4 linked regions of the Saccharomyces cerevisiae S288C genome follow. The gene in region 1 interacts genetically with each later gene. Each region holds a gene or a part of one and is shown on either strand. Other genes may lie near its edges. The genes, in order: YEH2, KAR5, EUC1 and ILV3.

The links.
Region 2: mutations in YEH2 (region 1) and KAR5 together harm fitness more than expected from each alone (negative genetic interaction), as found in Saccharomyces cerevisiae (one large-scale study listed by BioGRID).
Region 3: mutations in YEH2 (region 1) and EUC1 together harm fitness more than expected from each alone (negative genetic interaction), as found in Saccharomyces cerevisiae (one large-scale study listed by BioGRID).
Region 4: mutations in YEH2 (region 1) and ILV3 together harm fitness more than expected from each alone (negative genetic interaction), as found in Saccharomyces cerevisiae (one large-scale study listed by BioGRID).

What each region holds. Positions count from the first base shown.
Region 1 is NC_001144.5:180,024-186,651, reverse strand, and holds YEH2 (sterol esterase), read left to right. Parts: upstream 1-3,246; coding exon 3,247-4,863; downstream 4,864-6,628. Other genes in the region: IZH3 (Izh3p), read left to right, coding at 1-1,154; guanine nucleotide exchange factor SDO1, read left to right, coding at 1,726-2,478; IRC25 (Irc25p), read right to left, coding at 2,490-3,029; PSR2 (putative phosphatase), read right to left, coding at 5,171-6,364. UniProt on the Saccharomyces cerevisiae protein: Mediates the hydrolysis of steryl esters. Required for mobilization of steryl ester, thereby playing a central role in lipid metabolism.
Region 2 is NC_001145.3:396,944-403,377, forward strand, and holds KAR5 (Kar5p), read left to right. Parts: upstream 1-2,758; coding exon 2,759-4,273; downstream 4,274-6,434. Other genes in the region: RIM9 (Rim9p), read left to right, coding at 134-853; AEP1 (Aep1p), read left to right, coding at 960-2,516; SOV1 (Sov1p), read left to right, coding at 4,598-6,434.
Region 3 is NC_001145.3:490,979-495,450, reverse strand, and holds EUC1 (Euc1p), read left to right. Parts: upstream 1-1,658; coding exon 1,659-3,047; downstream 3,048-4,472. Other genes in the region: FOL3 (dihydrofolate synthase), read right to left, coding at 1-452; MED11 (Med11p), read left to right, coding at 956-1,351; HFD1 (hexadecenal dehydrogenase), read left to right, coding at 3,459-4,472. UniProt on the Saccharomyces cerevisiae protein: Transcription factor-like protein that binds to specific DNA motifs called ub-HS-motif associated with several locations where proteins other than histone H2B are ubiquitinated (ub-hotspots).
Region 4 is NC_001142.9:462,324-469,418, reverse strand, and holds ILV3 (dihydroxy-acid dehydratase ILV3), read left to right. Parts: upstream 1-3,210; coding exon 3,211-4,968; downstream 4,969-7,095. Other genes in the region: REC107 (Rec107p), read left to right, coding at 1-155, 236-864; TES1 (palmitoyl-CoA hydrolase), read left to right, coding at 1,138-2,187; peptidylprolyl isomerase ESS1, read left to right, coding at 2,386-2,898; YJR015W (uncharacterized protein), read right to left, coding at 5,166-6,698; TMA22 (Tma22p), read right to left, coding at 6,994-7,095. UniProt on the Saccharomyces cerevisiae protein: Dihydroxyacid dehydratase that catalyzes the third step in the common pathway leading to biosynthesis of branched-chain amino acids.

The sequences.
Region 1 (6,628 bases):
AAAACAATTATATTTCCAGCGTGAAAGACTATTGCGGTCCAATGAGAAAATCCATGGTAAAGACGGAAATCCTCATTGAAGAACCTTTGAATCCTACTACCGATATCAAGTCTTTTATAAACTCATACAACCATGGCAAAGCGTATAGTCTAGGTGAAACTCAACATTTACATTATTATCAGTTGCCATTCCCATGGAGGGAAAACAGATACATAATCCATGGCTATAGGTTTTACAATACCCATTCCAAATCTTTGTTGTCTATCTTTAACTGGTACGGCTGGCATAATGAAACTTCAAATATTTGGTCTCATTTGTTAGGAGCCATTTATATAATCTACTTGGCAATTTACGATTTCCCTCAGTCTGAAGTTTGGCGGAATTCCCAGGTTCCACCACAGGCTAGATGGATTGTTTTCATGTTTTTGGCAGCTGCGTTGAAATGTATGCTAAGCTCCGTGTTTTGGCATACTTTCAACGGAACGTCCTTCTTGAAGCTACGTTCTAAATTTGCGTGTGTCGACTATAGCGGTATTACGATCTTAATTACAGCTTCGATATTGACAACGGAGTTTGTTACCATGTATTCATGTTACTGGGCGATGTACACTTACATGAGTATTTCTCTGGCGCTGGGTGTATTTGGTGTGTTTATGAATTGGTCGCCTCGCTTTGATAGACCTGAAGCAAGGCCATTAAGAATTAGATTCTTCATTTTGCTGGCTACTATGGGTGTATTGTCGTTTTTACATTTGATATTTTTGACTGATCTTCATTATGCTGCAACGCTATTTAGCCCCGTCACATACAAATCTGTTGTTTGGTATTTGGTTGGTGTGGTATTTTACGGTTCGTTCATTCCTGAACGGTTCAGATCTGACGTTCAGGTTGATAAGACCATTCCAACAAACTACGAATTATCTACTGATTTAGAAATCATCACAAAGCAAAGGGAAATTCATTTTAGAGAGGTGCCAACAGCCCATTCCAAATGCAGTTCCTGTCCGTCTCATGCCAAATCATTTAAATCTCTATGGTGGGTTGACTATTTTGGTTGTTCGCACACTTTTTGGCATTTCTTCGTAGTGTTGGGTGTCATCGGCCATTATAGAGCTATTTTAGATATGTTTGCCAAGAGGTGGATTTTGTCATGATGGTATGACTGACTACCTTTACTTACAACATCCTGCACTTTTTCTGTATACGATAAACGGACTTAAAAGAAAGAAAAGCCTACAATTACATTGTTGGAGAAGCCACATAGCAATTTCGAAAAAAACCAGAAATTGTAAACCACGAATTCTCCTGTATTATTTCATTGTTAAAATTTTTTTTTTACTTATATTATACCCATCTTTTTCGATATTCCTGCTGGCATTGTTTTGGCTACATTTTCAAGAAACTTTGGATCCAAAGACAAAAGGAACAAACGAAATCTAAAAGCAAAAAAAAAGTTGACTGATTATAAAAACTACATTACGACGAAAAGAAAATAATAAAACTGTGTACTTTTAGTTTTGCATTTATGTATTGACTGTTATTTAACTTATTATGACCTCATGAAAGAACAAAACTTAGCGTGTATTGTTCTGCTCAGTGCCTTGTATATATAATAATGTTCATGAAAAAATTTTTCTAGGCCGAACTTAAGTGATTTCATGCAGTAGTAAAAGTTTTTAAAATTTTTACTAAAATAGTTCTGAGAAAGAAAAGGTAAAACACGCAATGCCTATCAATCAACCGTCGGGACAGATTAAGTTAACTAATGTTTCATTAGTGAGATTAAAAAAGGCTCGCAAGAGATTTGAAGTCGCGTGCTACCAAAATAAGGTCCAAGACTATCGAAAAGGAATTGAAAAAGATCTGGATGAAGTGCTGCAGATACATCAAGTTTTCATGAATGTTTCGAAAGGCTTGGTTGCTAATAAGGAAGATCTACAAAAGTGTTTCGGGACTACAAATGTTGATGATGTCATCGAGGAGATCATGCATAAGGGAGAGATTCAATTATCGGAAAAAGAAAGACAATTAATGCTTAATAAAGTTAATAACGAAATGCTTACAATAGTTAGCGCTAAATGTATAAATCCTGTGTCAAAGAAAAGATATCCGCCCACAATGATCCACAAAGCTTTACAGGAACTGAAGTTCAGCCCTGTTATTAACAAACCTGCCAAATTGCAAGCTTTAGAGGCTATCAAATTATTGGTTTCTAAGCAAATTATTCCAATAGTAAGGGCGAAGATGAAAGTCAAAGTGGCCATAAGTGAGCCATCTAGACAACCCGAACTTATTGAGAAGATTAGTAAATTGATAGCTTCATCGCCTGGAGAGTCAACGAAGCCGGAATTGGATCCTTGGACATGTACAGGTCTTATCGATCCTGTCAATTATAGAGATTTGATGACCCTATGTGATAAAAAGGGAACTGTGCAAGTCTTGGATATGGCAGTCATAGATAATACAACGCATAACTAATTTATATAGAATCACTTTGCATACATATCTTTGATACACTTTAACACAAAAACTAATTTGCCAAAATCATTATCGTCAGCGCTTTGTTCCTTCGTTGCTCTCCATATCTTACTGCTCATGGATATCAGCAAGCTGAATTGCATGTTGTCTTGGGCCATCGTACCGCTCACTTCTGGTAGAATAACTCTCCTATATAGTTCGGCAATCTGTACGCATACCACGGGTACTTTAGGATCGGCACTATCTCCCAACTTGGTAACCACTTGATAATCAGATAAATGGTCTCTTACAAATTCTTCTTCCTCATCGTCATAATCGCCACCCGTGTTTCCTAGGTTTCCTGCCAGTGGTACGTTGATATCGAGAATTGGGTTTAGTCCTTTTGAAGATACCTCATAGGTGGAATCCATTTCCCCATTTAGTCTGATTTGCAATAGAATTGTGTTATTAAAGTGCGTGGCTTGTACATACAATTCTTTGTTTTCGGATGAAGCGTTCAATGAGCTATCTTTTCCTTTCGGTAGATGAGTTTGGAATTCATATGATATCATATTTGCAACAGTATTTTGTACAAAAATAGCCCATTCTTTTTGTCATTGTTAATATTTTGATTCACCATTGGCGTTGTTATCCCAATAATTCGCGCATTAAGTTCTTCATTTTTTTTCACACAAATAGTACGCAAATGTTTCTCATCAAAGGTATAATTAAAATTGTTGGGAAATACTCAACTATCATTGGGATCCCCGTGGCACCTTTACGATAAGCATGGTAAATAAGGTGGTTGATGAGGTTCAGCGGTTGGTGAGCGCAATAATTCTCACTTCGTTTATGACGGGGTTATTCATTTTGTCACTATGGAAGAATTACGTGACAGTTCATTTCCAACATAAAAATGATCCAAGAGATACAAGAAGTTCGAGAACCAAGATCCAGCCAAATGACAAGAAGAAGAAACGACCAGCACGTCACTCTAGACCTTTGTCAATATCTTCCACAACGCCCTTAGATTTACAGCGGGATCAGGAAAATAATATTGAATATGACCGTACTGTGACTAGCAAGCTGTCCATGACTAGTAATGCCTCTTTATCAGAGAACGGTGATGGAAATGCTAATATTAAAATGGAAACGAATGTGAACCAAGCCCCATATGCTGCAGAGAATCCCTTCCAAAACATTGCGCTTGCGGAGGATACCAAGCTGGTACCTGACTTAAAGTACTATTATAAAGAGTATGGTATTGATATTGAAGAATTTGAGGTGGAGACAGACGACGGTTTTATCATTGATTTGTGGCACTTCAAGTCCAGGTTAAACGATGGCGTAGAGGAAGTGAAACGTGAACCCATTTTGCTATTACACGGTCTTTTGCAAAGTTGCGGGGCCTTCGCATCTTCAGGTAGAAAATCTCTGGCATACTTCCTTTATGAATCTGGATTTGATGTTTGGTTGGGGAATAACAGATGTGGCTTAAATGCCAAGTGGAACATGAAAAAATTAGGTAATGATCATTCCAAAAAATGGGATTGGGATATGCACCAGATGGTTCAATACGATTTAAAAGCACTTATAAATTATGTACTTGATAGTACCGGATATGCTAAACTATCGCTCGTGGCGCATTCACAAGGTACAACACAAGGGTTTATGGGGCTTGTCAACGGTGAGAAACTATACGCAAGTGATTTTAAATTAGTCGATAAGCTGGAAAACTTTGTTGCTTTGGCACCTGCAGTGTACCCTGGACCTTTATTGGATGAAAAAGCATTTGTGAGGCTAATGGCAAAAGGTATTGATTCTCCGTGGTACTTTGGTAGAAGATCGTTTATACCTCTTATGATGACAATGAGAAAACTAATGGTTGGGACCAAGATTTTTTCGTTCCTCTCATACATCATGTTTAACTACCTATTTGATTGGAACGATGTCTTATGGGATAGAGTTTTAAGGGACCGAAATTTCTTATTTTCACCAGTCCATATTTCCGTCAAACTAATGCAATGGTGGTTGTCACCTCTTCCTAATAAGCTAAGTTTTAAGAAGGGTGCAGAGAAAATTTTTCCAGATAAAAAGACATGGTTTCCTATTGCCAAGAATGATGATGACAGTGGCAATAATTTGGATAACAACAAACTACACTTAAATCCGAAAAGACAAAATAGTGAAGAATTTCCACACATTATAATGTTTATTCCAAAGCAAGATAGATTAGTAGATGGTGAACGATTAATTAATCACTTCATTAATCATGAAGCAAATGCAGTGTACAAAATCTGGTATATTGATGAGTATTCCCATCTGGACGTTTTATGGGCGCATGATGTTATAGATAGAATTGGTAAGCCAATGATAGAAAATTTGAGGTTTCCTAATGCAAGGTGAGGTAAAAGTTTTTTCTTTGTGGTTTCTTTGTAAAATATAATATGCCATAAAAAGAGGAAAGAAAAGCATAATAAATAGATATATGTATAGAGTATATATTTATATATATGCTAGTATATACGGATATATGTATCTGTAGATGTTACACGTAAAGTACAATTGATACATGTAATAAGCAAATTAATTCATTAAGTTTATAAATATCCGGTGAAGTCTTCTGTATAAAAAGAGAAACATGAGTTCGTCCAAACATATAACCGAAGGGGGGGGTAATAAAAAGAGCCTGCTTTTTATGTTACTGAGAAATCTATATCGTCACATCCAACACGCTCCCCACATCCAACACGTTTCCTGATGAAAGGTCCTCCAAAAGTGGGATAATATCTAGTAACTCATTATCATGAGTATCAGAGAACCAAGAAGATATCGGAACAGCATGTTGCGGATGAAAGATGTAAGAGGCCGGCGAATTATCTAAGATGATTGTTTCGGACAATGGTCTTCCGATCTGCGATAAGTTCTTGATGTAGTTACCTTCGTAGTTATAACAAGCTTCTCTGAATAATCGATGATGGATGGTTCCATTAGGGTCCAACGTATCTAAAAGGGGGTTTGCATACCTCGAAACACTTGCCGTGAACACAACAACTTCGTATAGTTGACTCACCCTGTTCAAGAACTCATCGACGCCTGGCCTCTTAATAACATAGACATTGTGAACTTGATCATCGATTTCGACGGGCAAAACGAAATCAGCTGAATGCATATATTTAAAGGAAGAATGTACCAAAGTTTCGTCTAGATCCAATATCAGACATTTTTTCTGTTGAAATTCTTGCAACTTGGGTGGTAGCAGAGTGTCGTATCCGGGGGCATGGTACTGGTCTGGTTGCAAATGCGTCAGGTCAGAGAAGTCCTCCTCCGTTGTAGGTATCAAGTTTAAATCATTATCAGGACTGCTGGCGACATATTGTGGATTCATATCTTCTTGACCCACCTGATACAGACCCTGTTGTGGTGGCGCCTCGTCATTAATACTGGAATTTCTATCTGCGTCAACGTTATATTCATGAACGACATGGTCTTGCTTTTCTTTTGCTTCGTCATCTTCTTCTTCTTCTTCTCCGGCATTGTTAACCTCCGTCATTTCTACGTCTCCTTCATTATAATCTTCATATTCTTTCTCCTCATCGTACGAGTTGTTGGAGTGATCTCTTGATAAAGGTGCTAGTTTTCCATTGCCGCTATTCCCATTCTCCTGCATTGTCTTGGAACCCGCATTGCTGCCTGAATCGGAACTAGACAAAAGGATCTCCGGTGTGGAATATTGCATCTTGTCGCCGTTTGGAGTAGCCTTCTGCTTACGACCCTGAGTTTGAGCTTTGTTTGAACTGTGCTTACGGTTGCGGTTGCGGTTGTGATTAGTTTCTGGTGGTTGGCGTTGACGATGTGTTTTGGAAGTATCTGAAGAACAGCACAGTATATTTGCTATAAATCCCATCTGATGATGATCTGAAAAAGCTCCCTAAAACAGACAGAGAAGCACTCTTCACTCAGTTTTTATTGCCAAATAAGTGGAAAATTAAAACGAAAGAACTCAAAAGCAGCACTGCGCTCGAAGAAAGATATATCTTAGCTTAAATCCTCTCCAAAAGGGGAGAACGAAGAATATGTGTAAATTAAGCGATGCTTCGTGGGTTTCTTTTACGCGCTGCGAAAAAGATAATCAAATCTCTAAATTTTAGAAATATAAGCCAGTCGGTAG
Region 2 (6,434 bases), on another chromosome or scaffold:
GCGCAAGTATAAGCTAAGAAACAATGAATATAGATAGATAGTGATGAGCGTTGAGAACCGGGAAATGAGTAGAGACGTCCTTCTAAACAAAGATTTATACGGTTGAGACAGATTCATTGAGGAAAAGAGGAGAATGGTTAGCATGATCCATATTGTGGTGTTTTTGCTAGCAATCACAACCATGTTCGAAATACTTCCGCTAATAACCGTCCCCGTGACCAAGTACCTATCGTTATCGTCATTCAGAAACCACTATTATGGCCTGTTTGGCTGGTGTGTACGTGGTCAAAACCAAGAATTGATGTGCACGAAAATGAAGATAGGATATGACAGTACAGATGTCGACTCCTCCGGGCACGTTTTGACCCTGCCATCGAACTCAAAAGTGGTCGTCTCCAATTTATTAGTGGTTCACCCGATTTCACTGGCATTCACAGGAACGCTATTAATTTTAGCAGTGATTATCATGGTAACTCCACTAGGGGACTCACCTGAGATGTTATTGTTCACGGCCCTTTTTTCGCTGCCAACGTTCATGCTATGTCTTTTATGTTTTTTGGTAGATATTCTTCTGTTCATCTCCAAACTGGACTGGCCCGGCTGGCTAATGCTAGCCGCTACTATTAGCGTAGCACTTTGTTGTTCCATGCTGTGGGTCATGAGAAGAGTTGTGTCAGTCAAAAAATATGAATCGCAACAGTCAATTGCGCATGCGTGCTCAATGGAACAGTACTCAATTTCCGACATTTACCAGAGTAAACAGAACGGCAATAGCTCAGAATATGAAGTGGCTCCAACACATACAGATAGTCTGATTGCTCCAGAAGTGACATATAGAGGGTTCATTGAATAAGTAACATCATGTGTCATTTTGCACGTTACATCGGTTTGCCAATCGGCTTCCAAATATTTGTACATTTTTTTCTTCCTCCATCACTATCTGTTAAGGGTCTTAGAAAATGATTACTACAGTGCAAGAAATCAGCAAATGGAGAAACCTGTGCTTCATTAGGATGCAATCTCGCAAATGGTACCCAGTACTTAAAAAGACTCCTTTAGTAGCGGACGGTCGAAAGATCATTAAACATGCCGATAAAGTTCCTCATCCGGAAGAAATAATTCACCCATTTTACCAACCAACAGCAATAGAACAATTCACGGCATGCGCTACGGAATACAATCCTAGCCTGCTTGATGGCAAAAAAATTGCTCCATCACTGATAAAACACCCGGTGAGCCTAAAAACCATACTAGTTGATAGCAAATTAAAGTTTGATGATATTAGGGGAGTGAATAAATGGTTGATGGAATTCGTTGCAAGACGACAACATCAAAGAAATATTGTACTTACACCTGCGAGCAAAAGCGTTAGATCTTTTCACGTTCTGCATTTGTCTTCAACCGATATTGCCAAATTAAGAGGTCTTGAAAATATATTATCAGAGATTGAAAACACGAATGATTTGCAATCCAGGGTCGAGTCCGTAAATAATGAACTACAGAATATTTTTGACCGCGACAGTAAACAGACAAGATTATTTTGCGAGAATATACTGGCTTATTTGATAAAGAATTATGGAAACTCGACTGAAAAACTTATACTACTAATAAATGTTACTGAGATGCAATTATATTCACGTTTAGACCAAATGAAGGCCATGAACATTATTTTATATAATATCCTTTGTAAAGTGGAAGCAAATGAAAACCCACCGTACAGTCCCACATTGGTTACCGCACTAGAAAACCTATTGGCAGCGATCAACAACAGATTTTTTCCAGGGCGTTGCGAAAATTCATTGCACCCAATAGTAATTGAACAACTATTATCATATTTCATTAAAACCGGCAATTTGAATGAAAGCAAAAATTTTTTGGGCCATTTAATAAAAAAGGGTATTTTACCAGAGGCTACTATCATTAATAGATATTTGGAGGCAATTGATGTTCATTTCGATAAAAGCACTAAGATTTTTGATATAAGATCCAAATTTGCATTCATAGCAGATCTTGCACCCATAATAGAAAATTATGGAACAATAGACCTGTTCAAATTTTTGATACCTATGTGCCGGCATTTCGACGAATTGTGTTCTCTGCTAAATATTATTCGAAAATCCAATAACGCAAAACGGGCTGTGGATAGCACCTTACCTATTTTTATCAAAAAAGTATTAACATTTACTAAAGATCCAATGATCAACTCCGGAAATCTATCCACTGTTTTCAATATAGTGAGCCCAATATATGGACAAAACGTGCCCAGCGAATTCGTGGAGAAATTTATACTGTCTTTTGCACTTCAAGGAAATTACACTATGATGGCTCATATGATAGATACATATAAGATCAAACTAAGTCATAAATACCAACTACAAATTATTAGGGCTCTCAAAAATAGTGAGAGAAATCACGCGCTTAAGAATACGGGCGCTGTAGGTTATAATAAGGAATTTAAAAAGTACTTCATCGAGAAATATTTGAATTGCACTGAACGAGAAGCTTTACGCCCATAAATCGTCTATATTAAAAAAAAGGCAGCATAAGAGCAACTCACTGCAAAGGGAATTGCGCATTCCACGCAAATAAACAATGTAAATAAGAATACGTACTGTAACTGTGTCACACTAGCGGGTTGTTTTATCATAATTGTTTGGGATTAATCCTGAACAAATTTTCTATATATAAACACTGGTTCGGAATACCAATGAAGTATACATATTCTGGTTCAACAACTGTTTCTATTCAAAAACTTTGAATGTTTGAAATGCGCTACGTCTATTTGTTTGCAATTTGTATTAAGTTTGTTTCAAGCTCCGAACTAGGAAAAATCAACAATCTGCTGCAAGGAAGATTGATATACACAGATAATTCCGTTGCGACAAATGTATTAGAATCCAAATTTCCATTCTTGAAATCAACATGTGTTAAAGACGCACTAAAATTATTTTTGCCACAATGTATTGCAAATGGACTTGAATCCATTGACGCTGAAACAAGGGTAGAAACGGCCATTAAACTTTCAATATGCGAGTTTCAGGCATCTGGCTTGGGCGAAATACCAGAAAATTGCATGGTTGACGACCTAGGATCAATGATGGATTGTATGTTTGAACTAGAATCATCTTCACAGTGGTGGACAACTTATAGTGGAAATTATCAGCGACTATCGAGTATTTGTTATGAAAATCTTCTTCCTTTTGAAAAAGAACAGATACTGAAACTTTTTCTAAATATCACTGAACTTTATGATTCATTTGGGGATGATGTCGATACTAAGTTAAATCATCTGATGTTTCAAATGGAGCAAGATTCTCAAAATTTTTTGGACGATCTGGCCAGGATGTTCCGCAACTATGACAATGAACTGCGAAATGCGACCGAAAGCAATCGAATAATCTTAGAAAACGACCTCTCATTTTTTAGAAATAAAGTGAATGATGTACTCTATGAAACTTCCGAACAACTAGAGGTCCAAATCATAGAGAAGAACAGTCAACTAATGAATGAAGTTGATACCGTCCATCATATTATGAGCGATCTAGCCGATGAGCTTGCTAAAAATGACATAAAATCTAAGATAAATGACTTGAAGGACGACAGCCTGAATAATTTACAGGACCTAGTGGAAATGTCCAACGACGTAAAAGAATATTACTCTAGAAATAACAAGTTAGTTAATACCGAGTTGGAAAACTTCTCGATGGGTTTAAAAAAACAGTTAGGAGGCATGTCAAAGGATCTTTCTGAATCACAAATGGAAGCTATAGAGCTCTTGCAAGGGTTCAATTCCATCCTTCATGATTCATTGTTACCATCCATGACGGATGAGATAGTACCTGAGATGACGAACTTCAAAAATACCTTACTACAAGAATGGACAGCTATAACATCTACACTAAATGGAGATTTTGCTTTATGGAATGAGGAGATTTTTTCAACTTTTAATGATATTTCAGAGAAACTGAATGGCACAAAAAAAAAATTAGACGACATTGAAATCAGAGTCTCACTTGTCCATAAAAATGTCATGACAATGATGAGGGTATTGGATTTTATGTGGAAAACTAGTAAAATGATTATAAGATGTGGGTACCTTGCAGTCAAGAATAAATACTACTGGTTACTGTGCTCCGTTGTGTGGATTTGGTCAAAATACCGTACGTCTCGAGTAAACGTCAAAATGATTCCTATTAAACGCTATTACCAATGGGCAGCTCTTCTACTTTCAATTTATCTAGGAGCTAAGACTGGCTCATTGATTGATTTTTAACATTACCGATGTAACAATATATGAAAGCCTATATATACATAGATGTATAGGTATATAGCCGCATTCAAAGTCTAGCAAAATAAATATTCTTTAAAAATTCAAGGACACCGGATCATGGTGGCCATAATACGGGCAAGTGAACCTAGAGAAGGTGTCCTACGTCACTATCCAAGTTAATTTGCTTAAGAGAGTTCGAGTGCAGCACCTACAGCTTTATCATTGAAGACGAAGCAAAAAGATCTTGAGATTCTATATCATGGGCACAGGTAGTATTCATTAGGTAGTAGTAACGTATTAAACAAGGCCATACTATATTTATAACTCATGTTCAAATACAACCGCTCACTCTGTAGCAGCGCTTTGATAGCAAAGTCTCAGATTCGTTTTTATAGATTGAAGCGGGCGCCATTGAATTATGCCTCCCATATACCTGAAGTTCTTAATAAGACCATCATAGGGCCAGACGAACCAGAAAAATGTCTCATTTTGAAAGGAAAAACATCAGAGGAAATCGAAAATAATCTTCTCAGTAATAAGAAATTTCAGGAGATCAATCCTCTTGATACTATCCAGGAAACGTTCATTCAATATCTGAAATTTTGTAATGAAACTAACTTTAAAAGAAGTAACAAGAATTTAAACAGATTAAAAAAAACCTTAGAAAGCAAGGACTCTAATAGCACCGTAAAAATTAATGCAGTTTTCAATTATTTGCTCGAAGAGTGTGATTTAGAAATCAAAAGATTGAACACGACCGGCCAAACCCAGGTATACAATGAAGAGAAAGGAAATGAAGATGACTTAGAGCAATCCATAATGAACGATATTTTCCGATCAGCACAAGAACAATTTGAAGATCAAGAGGGCCATATACCGTTAAGGAGTACATCATTTTTACTGGAGATTTTGAAAAGTTTTAATGAACGGTTTAATGGCATAATCAAACCGAAAGAGTCAATAACAGAAATGGTCACATTCAGCCAACTTGCTCAAGCTTTTGAAGTTGTTAAATTGATACCAGTGCAAGAAATGAAGGAGAAAGGGATTTACTTGGTCGGAAATTTACTTTATGGCACAGGGAAAGTTCGTTTAGATCCTATAAATGAGTCATTCTATATTGAATCCCTACTAGTTTTTGGAAACTATAAGGCTGCATACAGTTTATTTATTACCAATAAAGACAAAGTAAACGAGCGCTGGTGGAATGAACTAGGATTAATGATCACATTAAGGTCTAACCACTTGAGAAACTTCAGGAAACTTTTAGCCGAGACAGATGCAAAGTACTCAACAAAGTATTCTTATTTGAGCCCAAGAGTTACCAAATTGAGCATACGAAAATATTTGTCGATTGGCAATGTTACTGAAGCTAATATACTGACTGATCGATTTATTAAGTTAGTGGAAGAAGTTGGAATAATCAGAATGAAAGATGAGCAGGAGGAACTTCCCACGGGAGTTAAAAATTTTCAGAATGAGAAACATGCAACTGAGTTCTTAAATGAACTAGAAATACCATCGGATCATGATTATATCAGCATTGTTGATTTCCATCTTTATAAGAGAAATATTCCCATGGCGGCTCAACTTATCAGCAAGTACATGGAAATACCTGGAACGACACAAGAAGATGCCGCATTTCTACTTGTTAAAACCAAGCTAAATATGTTGAAAGATTTTGAAAAGCTACGAAACATTTTTGCTCAAAATAAAGATTATGTAGTGCCTGAGAATAATGTGAAAATGTTGCAAGAGGCATTTGAGAGCGTTATTACTAAGTATAACACTAATTCTCCAATATACAATGAATTGCTGTTTGAGAATGTTTCGGCCTTAACAAAAAGTATTGTATTAACTGATTTTCTGGAAGAGTTCATTACTAAACAGGCTTCTGGACAGTGGATGGAATTAAACAGTGTGTCACGTTCCAGAAAGTTTAATGGCTTGTTGAACATACTTCTCGGTACAGGTGAAGAAGAAAAAGCATATAATATCTTAAAAAAACTAGAAGAAGCCTCAAAGAAATCAAAAACAGATCCAGATTTACTCTATAATCAGTTTTATTCGGAAGTTAATGCATATCATTACGCTAAATTTGTTGAATTTTATAGTCTTCAAATTCAAAATATGAAGGCACAAAATACGCCCTCATTTAGAAAAA
Region 3 (4,472 bases), on another chromosome or scaffold:
AAACTGATTTTAGTAATACCACAACATGCCTTATTTGCGCCTGGAATAACATTGGTCGCATCAAGTCTTCCGCCAAGGCCTACTTCTATGACACACCATTGGCACTGCACATCATAAAAATATTTGAATGCGGTACATGTTAATAGCTCGAATTCCGTACATTTTAAAGAGTGTGACTTGTTTAAAGCTTCTAGTTGTAATCTAATATTCTGGTATCTCTCTAACGGAATCGGCTTATTGTTGATTGTAATGGAATCAGTAACATGCACCAAGTGTGGAGTGGTAAATTTTCCAATTTGGTAGGACTTTTGTTGCAACACAGAAGATAGGTAAGTACATACTGAACCTTTACCATTTGTCCCTGCAATGTGCAGCACTCTAAGTGAGTTTTGCGGATTGCCTAAATGCTCTAGTAGTTTTGTAATACGGGAAAGTCCCAATTCAATGGCCATTGATATAGCAAAATACAATAAATACACTAGATCAACTTACTAACAGGTGACCTTATCGGTCTATTCAAAACATTTACATTATAAACAATCCTGAGTTTTTCTGCTCAATTTTTAAATAACAATTATTCATAGAGGAAAACACCCGAACTAACCAATGTTGTAGAAGGGCCTATAAATAATATATATAACACAAGAAATATGGTAACCAGGACGTAGCCACCGTATGAGAAGCTTTGAAACATCCAGTGATAAAAAAATCTTGACTTTATTTATATATATGTATATTGGACATTTTAAAAACTTGATTTAAGTCGCTCATTGCGGCGGCTTTTATATTTTGAAAGTAATCGAATGAGTACGAAAATCTGACTTGGACAGTATGCAGGCCCTCATCTTAGCGGTTTTTTGACCCAGTCGTTAGATCTGCTAATTCGATTCAAATCTTCTCATCAAGCCAGAGGCGCGCTTATTAGAAGGACGCTATCAAATCCAAATGAACAACGATGCAGGTTCTCAATACGAAGAGTGAAACGAAACAAGAAAACGAAACAATGCAGCCACCATATATACAAGAACGTCTTAAGTCATTAAATGATATAGAGACCCAGTTATGCTCCATGTTGCAGGAGGCGTCTCAAGTCACGTTCATATTTGGTGAACTAAAAAGAGGTAATGAATCAGTGAAACCCCAATTCGAAAATCATGTCAAACAGTTTTACGAACGACTAGATAAATCAACCACACAGCTACGCAAGGAGATACAGTTGTTGGATGAGAACGTTGGAACACGACTACTGCCCATCAATGTCAACAAGAAGGCCCTAGGCCAAGACACAGAAAAAATGGAAGAACAATTGGATTTATTGTCGGCTATATTAGATCCTTCGAAATCCAAGTAAACCTTAATTAGGACTAGAACACTTTTGTATCAAGTACAAATGTATAATTATATAAACATCACAGGGATATCATATTCCATATGATGATATAGCATTTACTTTACTTCAACCAGTATTGTCTAAAGAGAACGAGTTTAGTATTAGTAAAAAAATTAAAAAAAGGAAGCGTACTTGAAACTCAAACACAAACGAGAGTACAAAGGGCATTGCTAGCTTAAAATATTTAACAATCAACTTCGTCTTTTGCCAGAAGACTACATTTTGTGCCATCGAGAAGTTAGTCCAGGAGTCAACACATTAATTAAACATGCCCGCTCGAGAATATAACTATGTAGAAGGTTTTGGTGGGTACGGCTCGTTGGACGATGATGATTCAGATAGAGATTCTGAACGCAGGAATCACGATCTAGGGCAGCGAACTATAACCACAAGTCCAACAGGAGTATCAAGACATGCTGCATTAAATAGGTACATGATCCCAGGCCGTATCAATCCTCTTTTCAGACCGACAGACGCTGCTCAACCTCCCATAGTGTCTACATCCACATCAGCATCGGCAACAGAACCGACCAACAGAATAGGCCCTGGAAGGATAAAAGAAACCCCTGAAACAAATTTCAATGCATTTCTTATAGCACAACTAACCAGAATGGAGGAGCAAAATGCCAATCTGAAGGAAGAAATCAGCCTAATGAAAAAGGAACAAGAACTCTTCTTTCTAGAGAATCAAAAGAAGTTGGAGAAAGGATTTAAAGACATCAATAAGTATGTTGAAGATGTTTCCGCAATGAAAGAAGTCTTCAAAGAGGTAGTTGGTATTATGACTGGGGAGAGAATAAGATTTATAGACCATACTGGGGAAAATGTTACTCCTCAGGAAGCTGCTCGTGTTGGAAATCCATCAACAAGTACGCAAGCTCATCAAAGTCAGTCAAGATCAACAAACTGGCAAGAATATAGTATGCACGCAAGCATATTAGCCGGCGATCCTCGTATCAAGCCTGAGCCAGGGCTGTCAGACTTTGAAAATGGGGAATACGATGGTAATGAAAGTGATGAGAACGCTACCACCAGGAACCTACCTTTAAATAACCCCGATTCTGTTAGCAATGCTGATGACAGTAATAACCAACTCGATGGAACAGGAAACGAGAATGATATCAGAAACAGAAGAGGGTGCGTTGGAACGTCATATAAACTAAATCGTGCAATCCAGAACGTTACAGATGCGGCCCGTGAATACTTTGAAGGCTTACCGGGCCAACCGTCAGTTCTTTCCCTTGAGAGGAGATATGGGTCCACTTGGAGGCGATCTGCCAAAGAAAGGACTTTGTTCACTAAAAGAATGACCATCATAAAAAGAATAATAGATATAAAAGATGATCCAAGCAAATATGGTTTGTCGCTACCTGAGAATAAAATAAGTAGAAACCAAGCCATCAAGGTTGTCGAAAATATAAGATTGGGAAACAATACCTTCAAAGGACATCATTGCCGATTATCAATGTCCCAGTTATACGAATACTTCTCCAAAAAAATGGACAAACTCGAAGACTATTCACTTACTCTAAAGAGAAGAGGGAAGCCAAGAAGAATTTTCTTGTTAGAAGAGAGAGAAGCTAGATTATCATTACAGCAGCCACATAGTATACCAAATTCCAGTACAGGCACACCAGAACATGATCAAGACACTTAGAGGAAATGGAACAACGAATTTCCAGCCAAAAATTCCGAGTAGTTCATGATGAAAGATTTTTACATGCATTTTATATATAAATATATACCGTCCTATATGGATTTCATGCCAACAGGGTATATAATAGACAATTACCGGTGTACTGATATATCAACTATCGACTCCAAGCCTTTTATCTATCAGTCAATTTTACATCAAGATCCCACTTTTAGATAGGTTCGAAAATTCAATCTAATATTAGTGATTTAATTAGATGGTGGATTGCTTACCCTTTTTTTTGTCGTTTTAGGAGGAGATTCTTCGGATTTTAGGGATAAACGGATACTCCATATATAAAAAACAAAACTTCAGGCATATTGATTATCTAAAAGGAATATTCTAAAACCATAGCCATAGTAATTTATCACCAACATGTCAAACGACGGCTCAAAAATATTGAATTATACCCCAGTGTCTAAAATAGATGAAATAGTTGAAATCTCAAGAAATTTCTTCTTTGAGAAACAATTGAAATTGTCCCACGAAAATAACCCAAGGAAAAAAGATCTAGAATTCAGGCAGTTGCAGTTGAAAAAACTCTATTATGCCGTCAAAGATCATGAGGAAGAACTGATCGATGCTATGTACAAGGACTTTCATCGGAACAAAATTGAATCGGTTCTGAATGAAACGACCAAACTTATGAACGATATACTTCACCTAATTGAGATTTTACCAAAATTGATCAAACCTCGGAGAGTATCTGATTCTTCTCCTCCATTTATGTTTGGTAAAACAATCGTGGAGAAAATATCAAGGGGCAGTGTCTTGATTATTGCTCCTTTCAATTTTCCCCTACTTTTAGCATTTGCCCCATTGGCAGCAGCTCTTGCTGCAGGTAACACCATTGTTCTGAAGCCAAGTGAACTAACACCACACACTGCTGTAGTTATGGAAAATTTGTTAACCACAGCTGGTTTCCCTGATGGATTGATTCAAGTAGTTCAGGGAGCTATAGATGAAACTACAAGACTACTAGATTGTGGAAAATTTGACCTAATATTCTACACAGGTTCTCCCCGTGTCGGATCAATAGTTGCTGAGAAAGCAGCAAAAAGTCTAACACCTTGTGTACTTGAACTTGGTGGTAAATCACCTACCTTTATTACAGAAAATTTCAAAGCAAGTAACATAAAAATTGCTTTGAAAAGGATTTTTTTTGGTGCTTTCGGAAATTCTGGCCAGATTTGTGTTTCACCAGATTATTTGTTAGTACATAAATCTATCTATCCAAAAGTCATTAAAGAGTGTGAATCAGTACTAAATGAATTTTATCCAAGCTTTGATGAACAAACAGATTTCACTCGTATGATTCATGAGCCTGCTTACAAAAAGGCCGTTGCAAGTATAAACTCAACTAACGGCTCCAAGATTGTGCCTTCAAAA
Region 4 (7,095 bases), on another chromosome or scaffold:
GATACTGGAATGGGCAGGTAAACTGGAATTGGAGAGTATGGAGCTGAGGGAAAACTCTGACAAGCTAATTAAAGTTTTAAATGAAAATTCTAAGACATTATGTAAATCGCTAAACAAGTTTAACCAGCTACTGGAACAAGATGCTGCTACGAACGGTTCGTACCAACACAGTGCATACCCTCAAGTTTTTTATTCATTTTCTTCCAAAACACATTTACTAACAACTGTAGTATAGGAAACGTGAAAACCTTAATAAAGGATTTGGCTTCCCAGATTGAAAACCAACTGGACAAAGTGTCAACAGCAATGTTATCGAAAGGCGACGAGAAGAAGACAAAGTCGGATTCCAGCTACAGGCAGGTATTAGTCGAAGAAATAAGCAGGTATAATTCCAAGATAACGCGACACGTAACTAACAAGCAGCATGAGACGGAAAAGTCGATGAGGTGCACCCAGGAGATGCTCTTCAACGTCGGCAGCCAACTGGAGGACGTGCATAAAGTGCTCCTGTCTCTATCCAAAGACATGCACAGTCTACAAACCCGCCAGACTGCTCTAGAGATGGCGTTTCGAGAAAAGGCAGATCACGCCTACGATCGCCCGGATGTGTCTCTGAATGGCACCACACTCCTGCACGATATGGACGAAGCCCACGATAAGCAGCGTAAGAAGTCCGTGCCGCCACCAAGAATGATGGTCACAAGGTCCATGAAACGCAGAAGATCCAGCTCCCCAACCCTATCCACCAGCCAAAACCACAATAGCGAAGACAATGATGACGCTAGCCATCGGCTGAAGCGTGCGGCCAGGACCATTATTCCCTGGGAGGAACTAAGACCCGACACTCTGGAATCTGAGCTGTGAAACGGGCGTCCTGCTTTTTCATTCTACACAGGCATATGTAACAGCAGTGTATAGGCTATGTAAATCGGCCCAATCAACAAACAAGCGTTGCTTATTGGACTTGCTACTACCCCAACAAAGGAGAGAGCCTTTGATTGCATCCTCGGAAGAGACGGCATAAACACCGAGCCTCATCCTACAATGAAAAACCACGCCAGTTGGATATAAACCAGAAAAGGGTTTCAATTCAGTATCCACCATGAGCAAGACAAGATAAGACAAGATTGCATAAAAATGAGTGCTTCCAAAATGGCCATGTCCAACCTAGAGAAAATATTGGAACTGGTTCCTCTTTCGCCTACCAGTTTTGTCACAAAGTATCTGCCTGCCGCGCCCGTAGGGTCTAAGGGCACTTTTGGTGGAACGCTGGTATCACAATCGCTGCTGGCGTCATTGCATACTGTGCCATTGAACTTCTTCCCCACATCGCTACATTCGTATTTCATCAAGGGTGGTGATCCGCGGACCAAGATCACGTACCATGTGCAGAATCTGAGAAACGGTAGAAATTTCATCCATAAGCAGGTTAGTGCTTATCAGCACGACAAGTTGATATTTACGTCGATGATCTTATTTGCCGTGCAACGGTCCAAGGAGCACGACTCCTTGCAGCACTGGGAGACGATTCCAGGCCTGCAAGGTAAGCAGCCAGACCCTCATCGTTATGAAGAGGCCACTTCGCTTTTCCAGAAAGAAGTTCTGGACCCACAGAAATTGAGCAGGTATGCCTCATTGTCCGACAGGTTCCAAGACGCAACCTCGATGAGCAAGTATGTGGATGCGTTTCAATACGGAGTCATGGAGTACCAATTCCCCAAGGACATGTTCTACTCGGCAAGACACACCGACGAGCTGGATTATTTCGTCAAAGTGAGACCTCCCATCACTACCGTGGAGCACGCGGGCGACGAGTCTTCTTTACACAAGCATCATCCGTACAGGATCCCGAAGAGCATTACTCCTGAGAACGACGCTCGCTACAACTACGTGGCCTTTGCGTATCTGTCCGATTCCTACCTCCTACTCACGATCCCGTACTTCCACAACCTGCCTTTGTACTGCCACAGTTTCAGTGTCTCGCTCGACCACACGATTTACTTTCACCAGTTGCCTCATGTGAACAATTGGATCTATCTTAAGATTTCGAATCCCAGGTCCCACTGGGACAAGCACCTCGTACAGGGCAAGTATTTCGACACACAGTCGGGACGCATCATGGCAAGCGTCTCTCAGGAGGGCTACGTTGTCTACGGGTCAGAACGAGACATTCGAGCCAAGTTCTGAGGACAATTCCCTCCCACGTATAAACACATACATATATATTCTTATATTATATAATAATATCCTATTTATTATTACATCACCTTTCACGAGCGGGTATCATACCTTTTTCCCTTCGATCTAAGTAGAAAAAGGACCTGAATGATCATTGTGGTACTTATTCCCACGCATAACCGACTACGGCACCACAACGACGCACCAATGCCATCTGACGTAGCATCGAGGACCGGGCTGCCAACCCCGTGGACCGTCAGGTATAGTAAGTCCAAGAAAAGAGAGTATTTTTTCAATCCAGAGACGAAGCACTCGCAATGGGAGGAGCCTGAGGGCACCAACAAGGACCAGCTACACAAGCACTTAAGAGACCATCCAGTGCGTGTAAGATGCCTGCACATTCTCATCAAGCACAAGGATTCAAGAAGACCCGCATCGCATAGATCCGAGAACATTACGATATCCAAGCAAGACGCTACGGACGAACTGAAAACCTTAATCACGAGGTTGGATGACGACTCTAAGACGAACTCCTTCGAGGCCCTGGCTAAAGAGAGATCAGATTGCTCTTCATACAAGCGAGGCGGCGACCTCGGCTGGTTCGGGAGAGGCGAGATGCAGCCTAGCTTTGAAGACGCTGCCTTCCAGCTCAAGGTCGGCGAGGTAAGCGATATCGTTGAATCAGGAAGCGGTGTTCATGTGATCAAGCGGGTAGGTTAGGTTGGCATTTGCTTCTCCACCTCACCTTTTTATGTTCTTATTCCCTCTTGTATCCATTCCGTCCTCGCTGAACCCATGAAAAGAAAAAAAATTAACTAGTCACATAGTTAAATGGCGCTGTTCTTCGCTGCGAGCGGAACCGGGCCTGAAAAAAAATTTTCTCTTTTCCTCTCCAGATGACTCAGTAATATAGTAGTATATTATATAATGTAACAAAAGAAGAGACTGAAGTTTTATTATGCATTGTAGCGCCTGTAATCTTTAGTAACGGATTCTTGTATTTTTTTGTAAACAGCCAAGAAAAAAGTAGAGATGGGCTTGTTAACGAAAGTTGCTACATCTAGACAATTCTCTACAACGAGATGCGTTGCAAAGAAGCTCAACAAGTACTCGTATATCATCACTGAACCTAAGGGCCAAGGTGCGTCCCAGGCCATGCTTTATGCCACCGGTTTCAAGAAGGAAGATTTCAAGAAGCCTCAAGTCGGGGTTGGTTCCTGTTGGTGGTCCGGTAACCCATGTAACATGCATCTATTGGACTTGAATAACAGATGTTCTCAATCCATTGAAAAAGCGGGTTTGAAAGCTATGCAGTTCAACACCATCGGTGTTTCAGACGGTATCTCTATGGGTACTAAAGGTATGAGATACTCGTTACAAAGTAGAGAAATCATTGCAGACTCCTTTGAAACCATCATGATGGCACAACACTACGATGCTAACATCGCCATCCCATCATGTGACAAAAACATGCCCGGTGTCATGATGGCCATGGGTAGACATAACAGACCTTCCATCATGGTATATGGTGGTACTATCTTGCCCGGTCATCCAACATGTGGTTCTTCGAAGATCTCTAAAAACATCGATATCGTCTCTGCGTTCCAATCCTACGGTGAATATATTTCCAAGCAATTCACTGAAGAAGAAAGAGAAGATGTTGTGGAACATGCATGCCCAGGTCCTGGTTCTTGTGGTGGTATGTATACTGCCAACACAATGGCTTCTGCCGCTGAAGTGCTAGGTTTGACCATTCCAAACTCCTCTTCCTTCCCAGCCGTTTCCAAGGAGAAGTTAGCTGAGTGTGACAACATTGGTGAATACATCAAGAAGACAATGGAATTGGGTATTTTACCTCGTGATATCCTCACAAAAGAGGCTTTTGAAAACGCCATTACTTATGTCGTTGCAACCGGTGGGTCCACTAATGCTGTTTTGCATTTGGTGGCTGTTGCTCACTCTGCGGGTGTCAAGTTGTCACCAGATGATTTCCAAAGAATCAGTGATACTACACCATTGATCGGTGACTTCAAACCTTCTGGTAAATACGTCATGGCCGATTTGATTAACGTTGGTGGTACCCAATCTGTGATTAAGTATCTATATGAAAACAACATGTTGCACGGTAACACAATGACTGTTACCGGTGACACTTTGGCAGAACGTGCAAAGAAAGCACCAAGCCTACCTGAAGGACAAGAGATTATTAAGCCACTCTCCCACCCAATCAAGGCCAACGGTCACTTGCAAATTCTGTACGGTTCATTGGCACCAGGTGGAGCTGTGGGTAAAATTACCGGTAAGGAAGGTACTTACTTCAAGGGTAGAGCACGTGTGTTCGAAGAGGAAGGTGCCTTTATTGAAGCCTTGGAAAGAGGTGAAATCAAGAAGGGTGAAAAAACCGTTGTTGTTATCAGATATGAAGGTCCAAGAGGTGCACCAGGTATGCCTGAAATGCTAAAGCCTTCCTCTGCTCTGATGGGTTACGGTTTGGGTAAAGATGTTGCATTGTTGACTGATGGTAGATTCTCTGGTGGTTCTCACGGGTTCTTAATCGGCCACATTGTTCCCGAAGCCGCTGAAGGTGGTCCTATCGGGTTGGTCAGAGACGGCGATGAGATTATCATTGATGCTGATAATAACAAGATTGACCTATTAGTCTCTGATAAGGAAATGGCTCAACGTAAACAAAGTTGGGTTGCACCTCCACCTCGTTACACAAGAGGTACTCTATCCAAGTATGCTAAGTTGGTTTCCAACGCTTCCAACGGTTGTGTTTTAGATGCTTGATGCATTATAGGCCCCAATCGATGAATATATATATAGAGATTCTCCTTTTCCATCATCTTTTTTGTTCGCAATCTTTTCATATATATATATATATAAATATTTATTATAGTCCATTGAATGGATAAACATTTATTTAAAAAAAAACAACGATCAGTATTTTTTTATTTGAAAAGTCGCCTTAATTATAATCTACGAAATTAACTCTGCTTTGCTGCCACTAAAGCCTTCTGTTTTAGTTTTCTACTAGCATACTTGCCAACAAATGGTAACAGTGCCGTATTCAAGGCAATGAGTGCGACTAAAATACCATAATTCCGACCCATCTTGCGTCTTGTCACGTCAAAAAAAATAACCCTGTAGATATCGATGACGTTGTGAACGGGCATCATGTACCCATATCTATAAACATTATTGTTTAGCGCTAATGGGAAGAAAGAAGGTGCAATATTGAGAATGACAAATGATAGGATCCAGAACCCGAGATACTGGGGTCCTAACGTAATAACAAGCATAACCGCATTTTCGTTAGCTCCTCCCGCAGCAAGCATGAAGAGCCACGTAGACATCCAATATACGACGAAGCCACCTCTACCAAAGGACTTGGTAAAATCGACTTGAAAGATGGCGGTTGTTGTGCAGAAGAACAAAGACGCAAAGAAAAAGGTGAACCATGACATAGCGATACGGTAAATTAAACCGTTGGCTGGTCTTAGCACTTTTGCCATTTCTACGTGTAATGGGCCGTACAATAGAAATTGGAAAAAAGTTAGCAGTAAACAGTAAACAACACCGATTTGTGTGGGTGCCAGTAGAATACGGTCTGTGAATGGTCTGTGGTCATAGTATTCGTAGTTATATTTACCTGCTGCAGCGATATACCTTGCATTGTTAGTTAGTGCATAACGATATACCTGGGTTATGTTTGTCAATAACGGCGGCAGATAATTTAGTGTGTAGAATGTATGGTAGTACTCTTCAATGGTCTGAGCAACCGGTAAAATCGTTGATTTTAGGTTTGTCGGGTCTCTACCAGTTTCATATACCACCTGATTAAACAGCGTAGAATTGAATAGTGGTGCGGTATCGTTGATTAGTGATTCAAATAGAGTCTCCGTGGCGTTTGGCTTGATATTAATGGCAAACCAGTATTTTTCGTCGTAAACCAAATCGACAACCTTGTCATTGACTTGCTGTGGCGTATTTACGTCGAACTTGGCCTGGAAGGTAGGACTGTTATAAATATCCCAATCACATGGTATTTTATTGATAAAAGTAGGCAAAGCATACGATATGGAGGGCACTACCATGGAACTGTTATTATCCAAAATTACCACAGGGGGTTCCTGGATAACAACCAGAAGCTTAACTTTGTGTAGATACTTGCTGGTGTCGTAAAGAGCCCCCCAGAACAACACAAACATTGTAAAGCAAATTATGGCCAGTAAGCAATTTGTGAAAACAAACTTTAAAAGAACTTTCTTCCTTTGACCCTGTAGATTAGGAGAAAAAAATGAGCCACTCGAAGGAGGAAACGCTTTCTTATCCTCGGAATTTGGCTCAGGGTCCTTCGAAGAATCCGTTGTTTGACCATCCATGTCTGGCACACCTTGTGAGACAGCATCACCGACCACGCTGGAAAGGTCATGTATATCGTTGCGTCTGCAATATTCCTCGTCCGCTTCCATATTATTATATGCTGTTGGTTCTATATCATCTAGAGATGAAGTCATAACTATACTTACTTACGGCTGGATTGAGTTGTGTTTTGTACGCCTATGGTCAACAACAAATTTTGCAGTTTTTCGGTTGCAAATAATTTGAATAGGCAATGGGGACTATATTTATTGTCCTACTACGAAGGTTTCAGAGAAGGAACGGCGCAGGCGCACGAGGGCCGGCTGCACAGTATATATGAGCGACGATCTCAAGAACGATATAGGGTTTGACTATCTAACCTACACGCCTGGTTACCAAGTAAAAAGTCCTTTTCTCCCAGAACGGTGCTATTACATATTTATGGATTGCTTACTTGGCAGCTCCTTCTGCAGCAGGCTTTTTCTTCTTCTTAGCATCGATGGTTTCCACTTTGACGTCCTTTAGGCCTTTTTCTTCCAGCAAGGAATGTAT